Drosophila melanogaster: one gene and its partners. The protein of the gene in region 1 interacts with the protein of each later gene in a pairwise test. Each region holds a gene or a part of one and is shown in the gene's direction. Other genes may lie near its edges.

Region 1 (3,756 bases):
GATAGTGTCTGCGACCTGGTGGAGTTCGCATTTGCCATGAAGCAAAAGCTGGAGGAGATCAATGGGGATGCCTTCAATAACTTCCAGCTGCGTGTGGGCATCTGCAGTGGTCCTTTGGTAAGTGGAGTGATTGGAGCCAGGAAACCGGTCTACGATATCTGGGGCAATACGGTCAATGTGGCATCACGAATGGACTCCACGGGCGAGAACTGGCGAGTTCAGGTTCCGGAGAATACGGCGGAATTGCTTTGCTCCAGGGGTTACACGTGTGTGGTAAGTGGGTCTTTTGTTACCTATCCCGAATTCTTATACGTTTTTTCAAAATCCCACAGAAACGTGGTGAAATCGCTGTGAAGGGCAAGGGCATGATGACCACCTTTTATGTGCATCCCAAGGGAATATCGGAGAGCCAGCTGATCTCACCGGTTCGCATGCCAGCCGGGATTCCCCTGGCCCAAACCCCGAATCTTCAGCGGCAGACCTCCCATCATGGATCCTTCAGTGCCGTGGTTTTCGGAATGCTTCAGGCTAGCAAACGCAGCACAGCCATTGCCGGAACACGTAAGTGTTCCTTTCGGGTAACTTAAAATTCTTATAACATTAATTTGATTCTAATGCTTAAGCCACGGGCACTCCTTCGCCGCAAATCCGTCGAGGACATCGGGGAAGCACGTTCAGCTCGGTCCGGTTATCCCAAAAGTCCACCACGGTCAATCCTGTGCGCCGGAATACAACCCGTGTTCGGGGACGTTCATATCGACAGAAAAAGGTACAATACGTAGTGTTTCAAAAATTATTATATATCAAATAGTATTTAAGTTGTTCATATGATTCTGTTTAATTAGAAAGAGTATTTTCTAGAACCTATCTTATATAATGATATATTTTTCCTATTCAATATTTTAGAGTTCCTCCAACAACTCGATCGTCACGCAGGCCAGCTCTAGCTATATGCCCTCGTTCCGACGGATCGACCAGATCGAGACGACGATATCGAAGAGCCACAACGATGCGTTATAGCCGAGTACGCGCACTCACTGGGTCTAAGTCGATCTCAAGGCGATAGAGTGTCTGATGAATTTATTTTTGGAACGATTTTATACAAATGGAGTTACGCCGGCATATGTTTCAAAGTTTGGCTTAACACTGAAATGAAATGGTGGAGAACGACACTGAAGCTACTTAGTAGAATTTTTAAATCACCATACTTGAAGTTGCAAGAATTACATTTATCTCAGCACAATTCTAGTCGTTAAACTTAAGAACTGTCGTTTATATGTGTGCGTTTCAAATCTGTTTAGAGTAAGATATTTGGATCTTCCCACAAAAGCCAACCATACGAAATGCCAATGAACCTACTAGCTTCGTTCAATTCAACCATAATGTGTACCAACTAGTTTTCTAGTACTAATAGTCAATTTAACAGCCAGTAATCAATTAGAAAACCAAATATTAGTTGTACAAACCGTTTCTTTTGATCAAAGAGCGGAAATGTAAATAAAGTAAGCATACTTATGTATAAAATATTTTACGACCATCTAAATGTAATGAGGTCAAGTGTTACTGAAATGTGAAATGGATTTTGGCAAATAAAAGGTGTATTACTATACAGCCAGCACTTATTTAGCACTTTAATTGTAATTATACAATTCGTTATAAATAAATGTGATAAGCAAAACTAACAAATGGTAGAACTTAATGGTTTTTGGAATATACGTCAAGTTATCATTCAAATGAATTATAAACAGTCGTTTTCTTAACTATTGTATGACACTTTCTTTTTTTAGTGGCCCATTATAACAAAAACTCGAATGTGGAATGTATTTAATAGTGTAGGATTTGTTATGTAATGAACGTGGATTAATAATTTGTTAAGACGGTTAACTAAATATATAAATCATAAATAACCATTAGTTGAGATACGGTCACACTTTGGCGCCAAACCAATACAACAGTTGCCATTCGATTTTAGCTATAGCAGCTGGCAGCACTGCCAATAAGTGCCAGCGATACATGCTTGCTGTTATCGATCAAATATAGAGTAGGAAGCCAATCGATTTTACCAGCGCCATAATCGATGATGGCATCGATGTTTCACCACCACTAGTCGAAACACATGCGGTGCTGCGGAAAAGTGTGATTATTAATTGGATTTCGACGTTTTGAAGGCAGCGGATCGCCAAATTTTGAGTAACGTGAATCCACAGGAGTGGCGGTGAATGCCCATTAACCAGCGGACCTGACCAGAGATGACGAGCGGTACGGTAGCAACGGCGGTGGAGGTGCAGCTGCCGCTCAAGGTCGTTCGCCGTAAAATCGAGCGCGTTGGCTTCGCTTACTTTGCGCAACGGCGCCAATTTCTAGCTCCCGGCGGCGTGGAGCGCAGCGAAAGCGATGAGAAATTGGAGGGCGTGGGCGAGGAGGTGGACATCAGCTACCTAAAGTCGCTGGATCCTAAGGAGTGGAAGGACCAGGATCATTACGCCGTTCTTGGCTTGGGCAAGCTCCGGTTAGTGCGACGGCAGCACGTGGTGTTCTTCCCATGTGTTCGTTTCTATCAATATTTAATGGGACTTCCCCAACTAATACTGTATTGTCTGACTAAATCACCCTTTAGATACGAGGCCAGCGAGGATGATGTTCGACGGGCTTACAGGCGCATGGTTCTGCTGCACCATCCCGATAAGCGGAAAGCCAAGGGCGAGGAAGTCATCCAGGACGATGATTACTTCACATGCATAACCAAAGCTTACGAGATACTGGGTGGGTGTCAAGAAAATGTCCTTGCTGATCCTTGGGTGTCCTTCGGACTTCGCATTGCCCATGCAAATCGACAGATAAGAATATTTTGATATTAATTTTCAGAGCATTTGCTTAAGCTATATAAAATTATGATACCATACAATCCTGTTGAGTATAATAATCAATTAAGATTTTAAATTATCTGAAACTAATTTATACTCGATCTAATTCATTGGTGTGCTGTTGCCTTTGTCTAAGCGCGCAGAACTTGAAGCTTTATTTTTGCATATCTAAAAATAGGACTAGTTGTTTGCTCTCACATTCTTTTAAACAAAATGCCAAATTATAACTTACTATTATACAACAGAATTTTTTTGGCTTTAAACACTTTGAATAATTGTAAACAATTGTACGAAATAGACAGGAAGATTTTAAACTATTTCCTCTTAAACCATCTAATACTCCATCTTGTATTCCAGGCACATCCAAGCCGCGCCGCAGCTTTGACTCAGTGGATCCCGAGTTTGACGACTCGCTGCCCTCACAGAACGACATCGATAACGACTACTTTGGCGTATTTAACAAATTTTTCACACTTAACGGGCGCTGGAGCGAAAAGCCGCATGTTCCCTCCTTCGGGCAGGTGGACGCCAAACGCGAAGAGGTGGAGCGCTTCTACAACTTCTGGTACGATTTTAAGTCATGGCGGGAATTCAGCTACTTGGACGAAGAGGACAAGGAGAAGGGCCAGGACCGCGACGAACGTCGCTGGATCGAAAAGGAGAACAGGGCGGCTCGAATCAAGCGCAAGAAGGAGGAAATGTCTCGTATCCGGTCGCTCGTCGATTTAGCCTACAACAATGATAAGCGCATTCAGCGCTTCAAGCAGGAGGAAAAGGATCGCAAGGCTGCTGCCAAGCGAGCCAAGATGGACGCCGCCCAGGCCCAGAAGGCAGAAGCTGATCGTGCCATCCGTGAAGCGGCTTTGGCCAAGGAGAAGGCTGAAAAGGCCGA
Region 2 (3,756 bases), on another chromosome or scaffold:
TTGTTTGGCAAATCGATAGAAATTCACAAGACTAATAAAATTATGAAAAATATACAACCATTTTTTATAAATGTGGTCGTGAAAACTTTGTGCGGTTTGTAAAGTTTAGACTTGGCGTGTCTAAATTAGGAAACCAACTAGTGCTGCGTCTATGCTTTTTGGGTTGAATGCTTATTCTAAGCTTTTAAGCTCCTGAACTTTGGACGCTCTTACGAACGGAAGGACGGACGGACAGTCGGCTATTGATCCTAACCTTGCTAAAAACATTTTCATTTCACCGAACCTAATATACCCTTTTAGTATTCGGGTAACGGGTATAAGCCAAGACTAAAACATATTAACAAATAATGGTAAAATAGCTGAAAGTCCTTCACAAAACAATGGGAAGAATTTTGTTGACGTAGAAAATGAACGCAAACCAGGGCTGCTAAAATTTCCCACCGTGGGCAACGCATTAGTCCCATTAAACGATGTTGCCATCCTTATTTCTACACATATTGGGTGTTGCCATTACGCACTTTGCAGTTGTTTTGAGTTCCCGTTTTGAAATCTACACAAGTACTCAATTCTAATCGATAATATAATACAAAAATTTAACAAAACATGTGTAGGAATAGAGATGTCAATTATTTTCAAGTAAAATTTACTAGGTTTGAGTCGTAGCTTTAACATAGATAACATCAACAGAAAAATGCTTTCATTTTTCCAGCCATCTAGGCACATCTGTTTACATCAAAGCTCTGGCCAATCCACATTAAGCAACTGAGAACGCCATAGTAGAGTTCTCGGGCTACCAGATACCTGTTACTCTGTTAATGGAAGTTCGAACGAAAAATATCACCAATTTTCTGGTATGTCAATTTGAATAGGGAAGAAATAATAATATTAAAAATTTTTTCAGATATGTGACATTTTGGGCGGTTCATGAGCAACTCACAAATGATTTTGGTACATCTATAGAAATTTTCAAATCAAGTACTATACAAAAAACAAAACATTTTTCAACAGTGTGGGCGTGGTAGTTTTGGGCGGTTTGTGGGCGTAAGAGTGGACGTGGCATATCGATAGAAGTTTACAAGATTAATAAAGTGATGAAAAAATTCAAAACAAATTTCAAAGGTGTGGGCGCGGAGGCGTTTACCTTTTTTGGCGTGACAACATCAGGAAACAAACTTGCTCTGCATATATGTATGTATCTGGAAACTGCATGCTTACTCTCAACTTTCTAGATTCAAAATTCCTGCGATCGAGGCTCATGCGGACAAATCGACTCGGCTGGTAATCCTGATCAAAAATATATATGTATATATTTCGGGTCGGAAATTCTTCCTTCAACCTGTTACAGATACACATACTCGGTTAGTAAGAGTACGAACGAAAAAGTTAAAAATTCGTTTTGGCGTATCGATAGATACGGAAGGACCAAAATTGAAATAATTTCAAACTTGAAATTTTTAAAAAATATTTTCATGTTGTAGTGTTTCTCAATTTGATCGATATTTTACAAAAATTTTGAAATATCGAACTTGACTATAGTGTTCCATCTCGGTTTTACATAGAACATTGACCGTCCTACTCTTAAGTACTGCTATAAAATGTCAGTTGTATATGAATTGTGTGAGAATGAGCTCATGTATTACACACACATCCTTTAACTCGCCAATTAAATTCAATTATCGTTACCTAAATTCGTTGGTGAAGTTAATTGAATAGAAAGCAACATTTAACATTTCAATTGTCGCTACATACCTGTACAAAAACAGGGTTGATACCACAAACTATTATATTTAGAAGAGCGCAGGCGCGTACTTTTGGAAACGCCCTGGAAATTAGGATAGTTGATTCTTATTGGCTCATTTTTTCTAGTATGTATATATATATATCTTCTTCTGTGGTGTATCATTTGCTTTCGGTCTCTTATTGGCTATAAGCAGGATTATTTTGTTCTTAGACTTTTACAATCTGGTATCGGTATCGGTTTCCCACTCCTGCTGCTTTTCTTTAAACGATGTCAATACCAACGAATATGGTGTTTCATATTCAGTTTTCGCACCTATTTCGTGTTGGAATAATCTAGTCCTCAAAGAAAGTAACTACTGTGTTAAATTTTTTAACTAAAATCGAGTATACTTTCTTTTATCAAACTATAAGATGTAACTTCAATAATGAGAAATATTACGTATATAAAATATACGTTCCAAATATATTATAAAAGTGGACCGAAATCTTAAAACAAACAAAAATAATACACACAATTTAAGAAACTTCACAAAAAAAACTGTGTTAATAAGGCGAAATGAATCTAAACGGAACTTGAACGTAAGTCAACAAGTGTTAACAAATTTATCTAACAAATATAGAAAATACGCGCACAAATGTTCATAAAACAAAAAGTTCGTCTGACCCCACATCATTAAGGATTTCCTAAATATTTAAATTTTAATGTGGACATAAGGCCACATAGTGACGAAATAAACATTTTGGTTGGTTTCTCTGTCTGTCTGCAACAAAACGTTATTTTAAATTTCGAAAATAAAATCATTAGTTCGAAAAATCAATACTTACAATCGCTTAAAACAGTGCAAAATGTCGTAAAAAGTCTATACCAATGCGTATATATTCCATATAGCATAAACAAGTGTAAATTGTACTCTTCGGTAAATTGTATACGGTAAATCGGTAAGTTGTATACTCCTTCAGAACATTGAATACTATCTGGCTAAAATGTTCTATAAATTGTATACTAAACTCAAAATAAAACGTAATCGAGCTTATCGGTTTAAAGTGATATTTAAAAAAATATATATTGTTTTATTTATTCTTATATTTTTGTACCCGTTAGTCGTAGGATAAAAGGGTATATTAGATTCGGTTAAAAGTATGAAAGGAAGTGTTTCCGACCATATATTAAGCAGGATCGAGTCGGGTCGATCTGACCCTGTCCGTCTGTCCGTATGAATGTCTCGAGCTCAGGAACTGTAAAAGCTAGAATGTTGAGATTGAGGATGCAGCTTCCAGAGACATAGACACATCGACACACACAAAACTGCTACTCCCACACTTTAAAACCGCCCAAAATGCCACGCCCACGCTTTTGAAATTTTTTTTCGTAATTTTAGGAGTCTTGTGTATTTCTATTCATTTGCCAAAAAACCTGTTGCCACGCCCACAATAACGCCCTAAAGCGTTAGACGCGTTTGCGACGCAAACACTTTTGAATTTTTTTAGATTTTTCTTTGTTTTATTGTTTGTCTTGCGAATTTTCTGAGTCTATGGCAGCATGGATATTCACAGCCATTTTATTCACTTTAGCAGTTTTCAAAACACAAAAGCCAAATAGATATAGTTTAGTGCTGCCCGCCTCTGGCACGTCTTGTGGAAAGTGTAGAATCTGTTGTAGATGCAGGACCACTGGGCAGCGACCCTTAGTGGTATTGTAGTTCCTGTGGTGCTTCAACTTGGTGTAGTTAATCAGACAGAAGAACGTCATGCTGGCGACGGTCAGCTGGAAGAAGGGAGCGATCACGGCGCGCTTCGGGAACACGTAGTTGTACTGCCAGCGCCAGCATGCACGGTTCACGGCTCCGGCCACAGCGTTGGGCGTCTTGTTGCGGCGTCCCAGCCAGGCTTTACCGTAGAAGCGAGCGGGGTCTTAGGGCCCGTGCACCTTGGGGTTGTACTCACCTGGATAGTCACCAAATGACACCGCGTTCCTTCGATACTGACAGTATGTACAGTTTGTCAAAAAACTTTTTA
Region 3 (3,756 bases), on another chromosome or scaffold:
CTTCTTTGGAGGGTTCATAATTAGTTTCTCCTTCAAAAGGAAGCTCCTCACAATTGTCGATACGTCTCCTTTTCGAGTTTGCTGATTGGCCATTTAAAATATGCAAATTTGATCCGAAAAACAATAAGACAGATGGACACAGATGGAGTGAAACAAAAGCGAGGCGGACAGAGATGAAGCCATCAAAGTGGAGTTGCCAACGGATTGCACTTAAAAATGCCCAAAAGCAGTCGAAAATAATTTGTTAAGCTTTATGGACAGGCGAAAACTTAATTAAAAACAATCCTTTTCTGGCGCACCTAATTAAAAACACTGGGTGTTAAGTTAATGAAGTTTCTTGCTGAATGAACGACACAGTTTTTCAGATTTCATTGAGAAATCGTAAAAGATAAACAGATATGGTGAGGCACAAAAGATAAACAGACCATCAATATGGTGTTTTTGTAGTATTATTTTTTCGGGTCTAAAGAGGCCACACAAGCAGAAGAGCGACAACAAAGGCGGAGGCGGCAAAGCCAAAGGAAATGCGAGAAAAAAGTTTCTCAGGCCCTGAAAACAAAATGGAGCTCCACAAAAAAAGAAGATAAATACACTAAAAATTGAGCACTGCGTAATACGGTTGCTCTGCTCTGCCACTGGTTTTTATATTTGGCCTCTCGCTCGCTCGCAAAACGGGTTAAGAAGCAGTTAAAAAGGGGGTGAGCGAGCGAGACGGCGCGAAAGAGTGGGACAGACAGAGCGCCGCCCAAAGCCACGCCCACATCTATAAAAATATACACAGGTATAAGTGAAAGAAAGTTACCTTTTTAGCCAAACAGCAGCTAGAAAGACAGAGAAGAAGTCCGAGGAAATCCAAAGAAATCGCAAGCTTATTACAGCCCGCATTATCCAGCACACCTTTCACTCATTAGTCGCCTAAACTTAATTGAAATGTTGGCTTACTTAAGCTTAATTAACAGTCAACTCAGGTAACGCCTTCGAAACCACTCAACTCAGGTAGCCTTCTCTCGCTCGCTCACTCTCCAGTTTTCTCAGTTCGCTCTTTAGCTCATTTTCCTCCGACCAATCAGCTGAAACACTCAAAACTCGTTCTCCGCGACCCAAACAGTGCGTGGGAAAGGGACAGCCAACCGAGAGAGGGCTGTAAAAAAGAGGGTAACCAAAAAAAGGAAAACAGAAAAAGTTCAACCCATCAAGCTGAAGTTTTCGATCGTAACTTTGCAGTTGACTCTCGCGCACAGAAGCGTTCGGAAGTGAAATATATTTTATTAATAATATTACCCAACACAGTGCTACCAAACAGAAATTGCATACAATTTGTGTCTTGCCAAATAGCAAACGGAATTTCGTGCTTTCGCAATAGGTAAGTGACGCCATTTTGTGACTTTTACGCTTGGCTTCCGTTAGAAGAGACGCCATTTTGTGGCTTCCGTTTGCCAGCTTCTGTACTTACGCATAAGAACTTAGGGCGAGCGAAAGGGATGGCTAGCGAGCGCTGCGCATGAGCAGTAGCTTCGGCTACCGGTCTTCGTTTTGCTTCGTTTCTCTTCGGATGACTCACACACACTTACACACACTCACACAGTGCCACCGAATTGAGTAACAGACAGGGACAGAGCGATGATCTCGCTTCCTCAACTTGCCAGCAGCGACGCCGGCAGCGACGCCGACAGAGGACGGCGGCAGAGGCGACTACTATTTCTTTCAGTTATTAGTAGCATTCATTCATTCAACTTTGTGCCGCTCGAGCGTGCGTATATAGTTCCCTCTCATCAGTAACAGTATCAGTAACAACATCAGTAACATTTCCTTCGCGAGTACCTTCAAAAGAGATACAAATCGATCTATCCATTCAGCGGACATACGAAAATCGCACAAAACTCAGCTATAGAAATCGGTTAGCCTCTACTCGAGTCCGAAGAACGCGTAACTCCAGTGCATCCCATTGGGTAAGTCTTTCTTCAGCTCCTCTCTTCAATGGCGTTCTTCGTGTTCTTCTGTTCGTCGTTCTTCCCCCTTCCACACTTGTTTCGCTACCAGTTTTACGCCGCTTTCATTGGACAACTGAAAACTGAGCAAAGAAAAGAAGAAGTAAACCCCACACGTAACACGGGTGCGTGTATCGGCCTCTCTTTCTGCCCGGGCCTCTCACTTCGGCTCTTTAGTGTGCCAGAGGGAGAGGGGCGATGCGTCTAATATGGCATGCGTGTGGCCAACGGAGCTTTTCGGCCTCTGTGTGCGTGAGAAAGTGTCGCCATTTGCCAAAATGGCGGACGCCAAGTCCGAATATTTCCCTATTGGACTGTAAAAAGTTTTTACCCGCACTTCTTGACACGAATTCCCCAAAATGGGTGATCTACTTGAAATACAACCGAGTTTATTGATCTCTCATTGTATAGTACAAATGTGTTATTAATTTCCGAAATGAATGAAGAAGAAATAATTTGTATCTCATAAAAAAATGCTCATTAATTTTCGAAAAGAAAACTATTTAATATTATTTTCTATTAAAGTTGGTCTAAAAAAACATTTGAGCTCTCTTCAGAACAAATATAAGTTTTTATTGTATCCTAAACTTTCAACCTGTTCTATTTTTAAAGGTTTCAGTCGTTTTCCATTGAAATTGTCTAGGAATTGAAAACTCTTAAAGCCGTCGGCATTTTTTCAGATTGAAAGAATAGAAGCTGAGAAGTTTAATGAGTCAGCATTAAGAACAAAAAGCCTAGTTTGTCGAAGGTTGATCGCGGACGCACAAAACACGGCAAATCATCGCCAAGAATGTTTGGCATATCATCATCAGCCGTTTTGGTACAAGTTATTTGCCTATGAGTCATGGAGTTGTGCTTTTTTCATTGGATTATGAAATACCAATGAGTACGGCTCAAGCTAACAACAGATGTTCAAAAAGTTGCGTCAAAGTCAGGTACTTTGAAATACCTGAGATTTGGCACTTGTGCGAAAATTCCAATGAATCTGGTGCGAAATCGCAGAAATCAGAACCCATATTCTAGGGGAACTTTCTGGAAGTAGGACTAACATTTACAATATAGGGAAATTCGTTTAACATAGTTATACTGAAGTAAAGTTGTTGTAAGAGTTTCGTGACCTCTGAAATTCTTACTGCTTTCCCGCGACCATTTCTTTCCCGTCTGTCTGATCTTTGACCTCGTCTGGACCTCCCGCTGCGCTCCATCAATTAGAGTCTAATTAGCTAAGCGATTACGGTAAATGGGCTCAGCTGGCAGCTAATCTGCGCCGACTTTTGAGCAACTGTCATATCTTACGGGCTGAAGGTGAGAAGCGTCCGAAATCGACTTGCTTCGGCCACGAAATTCCCATCCGATTTGCGATGGATCTAGGGAAGATCGCTCATACCTTGCCGCATTGTATCTTTGTATCTTGTGGTGTGTTTGTGTTTGGGGTTACGAAGGTATTCCTTTGTTCGCACTGAAGTGGCAGTGCCACACATCCTAATTGTTTCCACCGACTTATTGGTTCTGTTGTCAGGCCAGGATCTCGTGTGTGTGGGTGTTTTTCCCGGGAATTCTGCGCCATTAGCACAATTAGATTCGTATCAAATGGACTTCGGTGCCTTTGTCTTCAGAGCCTTATGTCCTTTTATTGTCATTTTTTCTCGCTTCGGTTTCTTCTTTTCACTTTTCGGTTGTAATTTTTAATGGCACCTTGCCAACTCACTGTCCGCCTCCTACAAAAAATAAAGGGATGACCACGGTGCGAGGTGAAAGAAGTGTGGTA

What was found.
Region 2: the proteins of CG10565 (region 1) and fuss interact in a two-hybrid assay, tested with the Drosophila melanogaster proteins (one large-scale study listed by BioGRID).
Region 3: the proteins of CG10565 (region 1) and drm interact in a two-hybrid assay, tested with the Drosophila melanogaster proteins (one large-scale study listed by BioGRID).

Annotation. Positions count from the first base shown.
Region 1 is NT_037436.4:21,134,371-21,138,126, reverse strand, and holds the start of CG10565 (uncharacterized protein), read left to right. Parts: upstream 1-1,773; 5' UTR 1,774-2,249; coding exon 2,250-2,509; intron 2,510-2,617; coding exon 2,618-2,763; intron 2,764-3,221; coding exon 3,222-3,756. Other genes in the region: Ac78C (adenylyl cyclase 78C), read left to right, coding at 1-273, 333-561, 624-769, 907-1,020.
Region 2 is NC_004353.4:976,770-980,525, reverse strand, and holds the start of fuss (fussel), read left to right. Parts: upstream 1-2,036; 5' UTR 2,037-2,319; intron 2,320-3,264; exon of another isoform or gene 3,265-3,756.
Region 3 is NT_033779.5:3,538,029-3,541,784, forward strand, and holds the start of drm (drumstick), read left to right. Parts: upstream 1-1,704; 5' UTR 1,705-1,949; intron 1,950-3,756. UniProt on the Drosophila melanogaster protein: Putative transcription factor. May function redundantly with odd and sob in leg joint formation during the larval stages, acting downstream of Notch activation.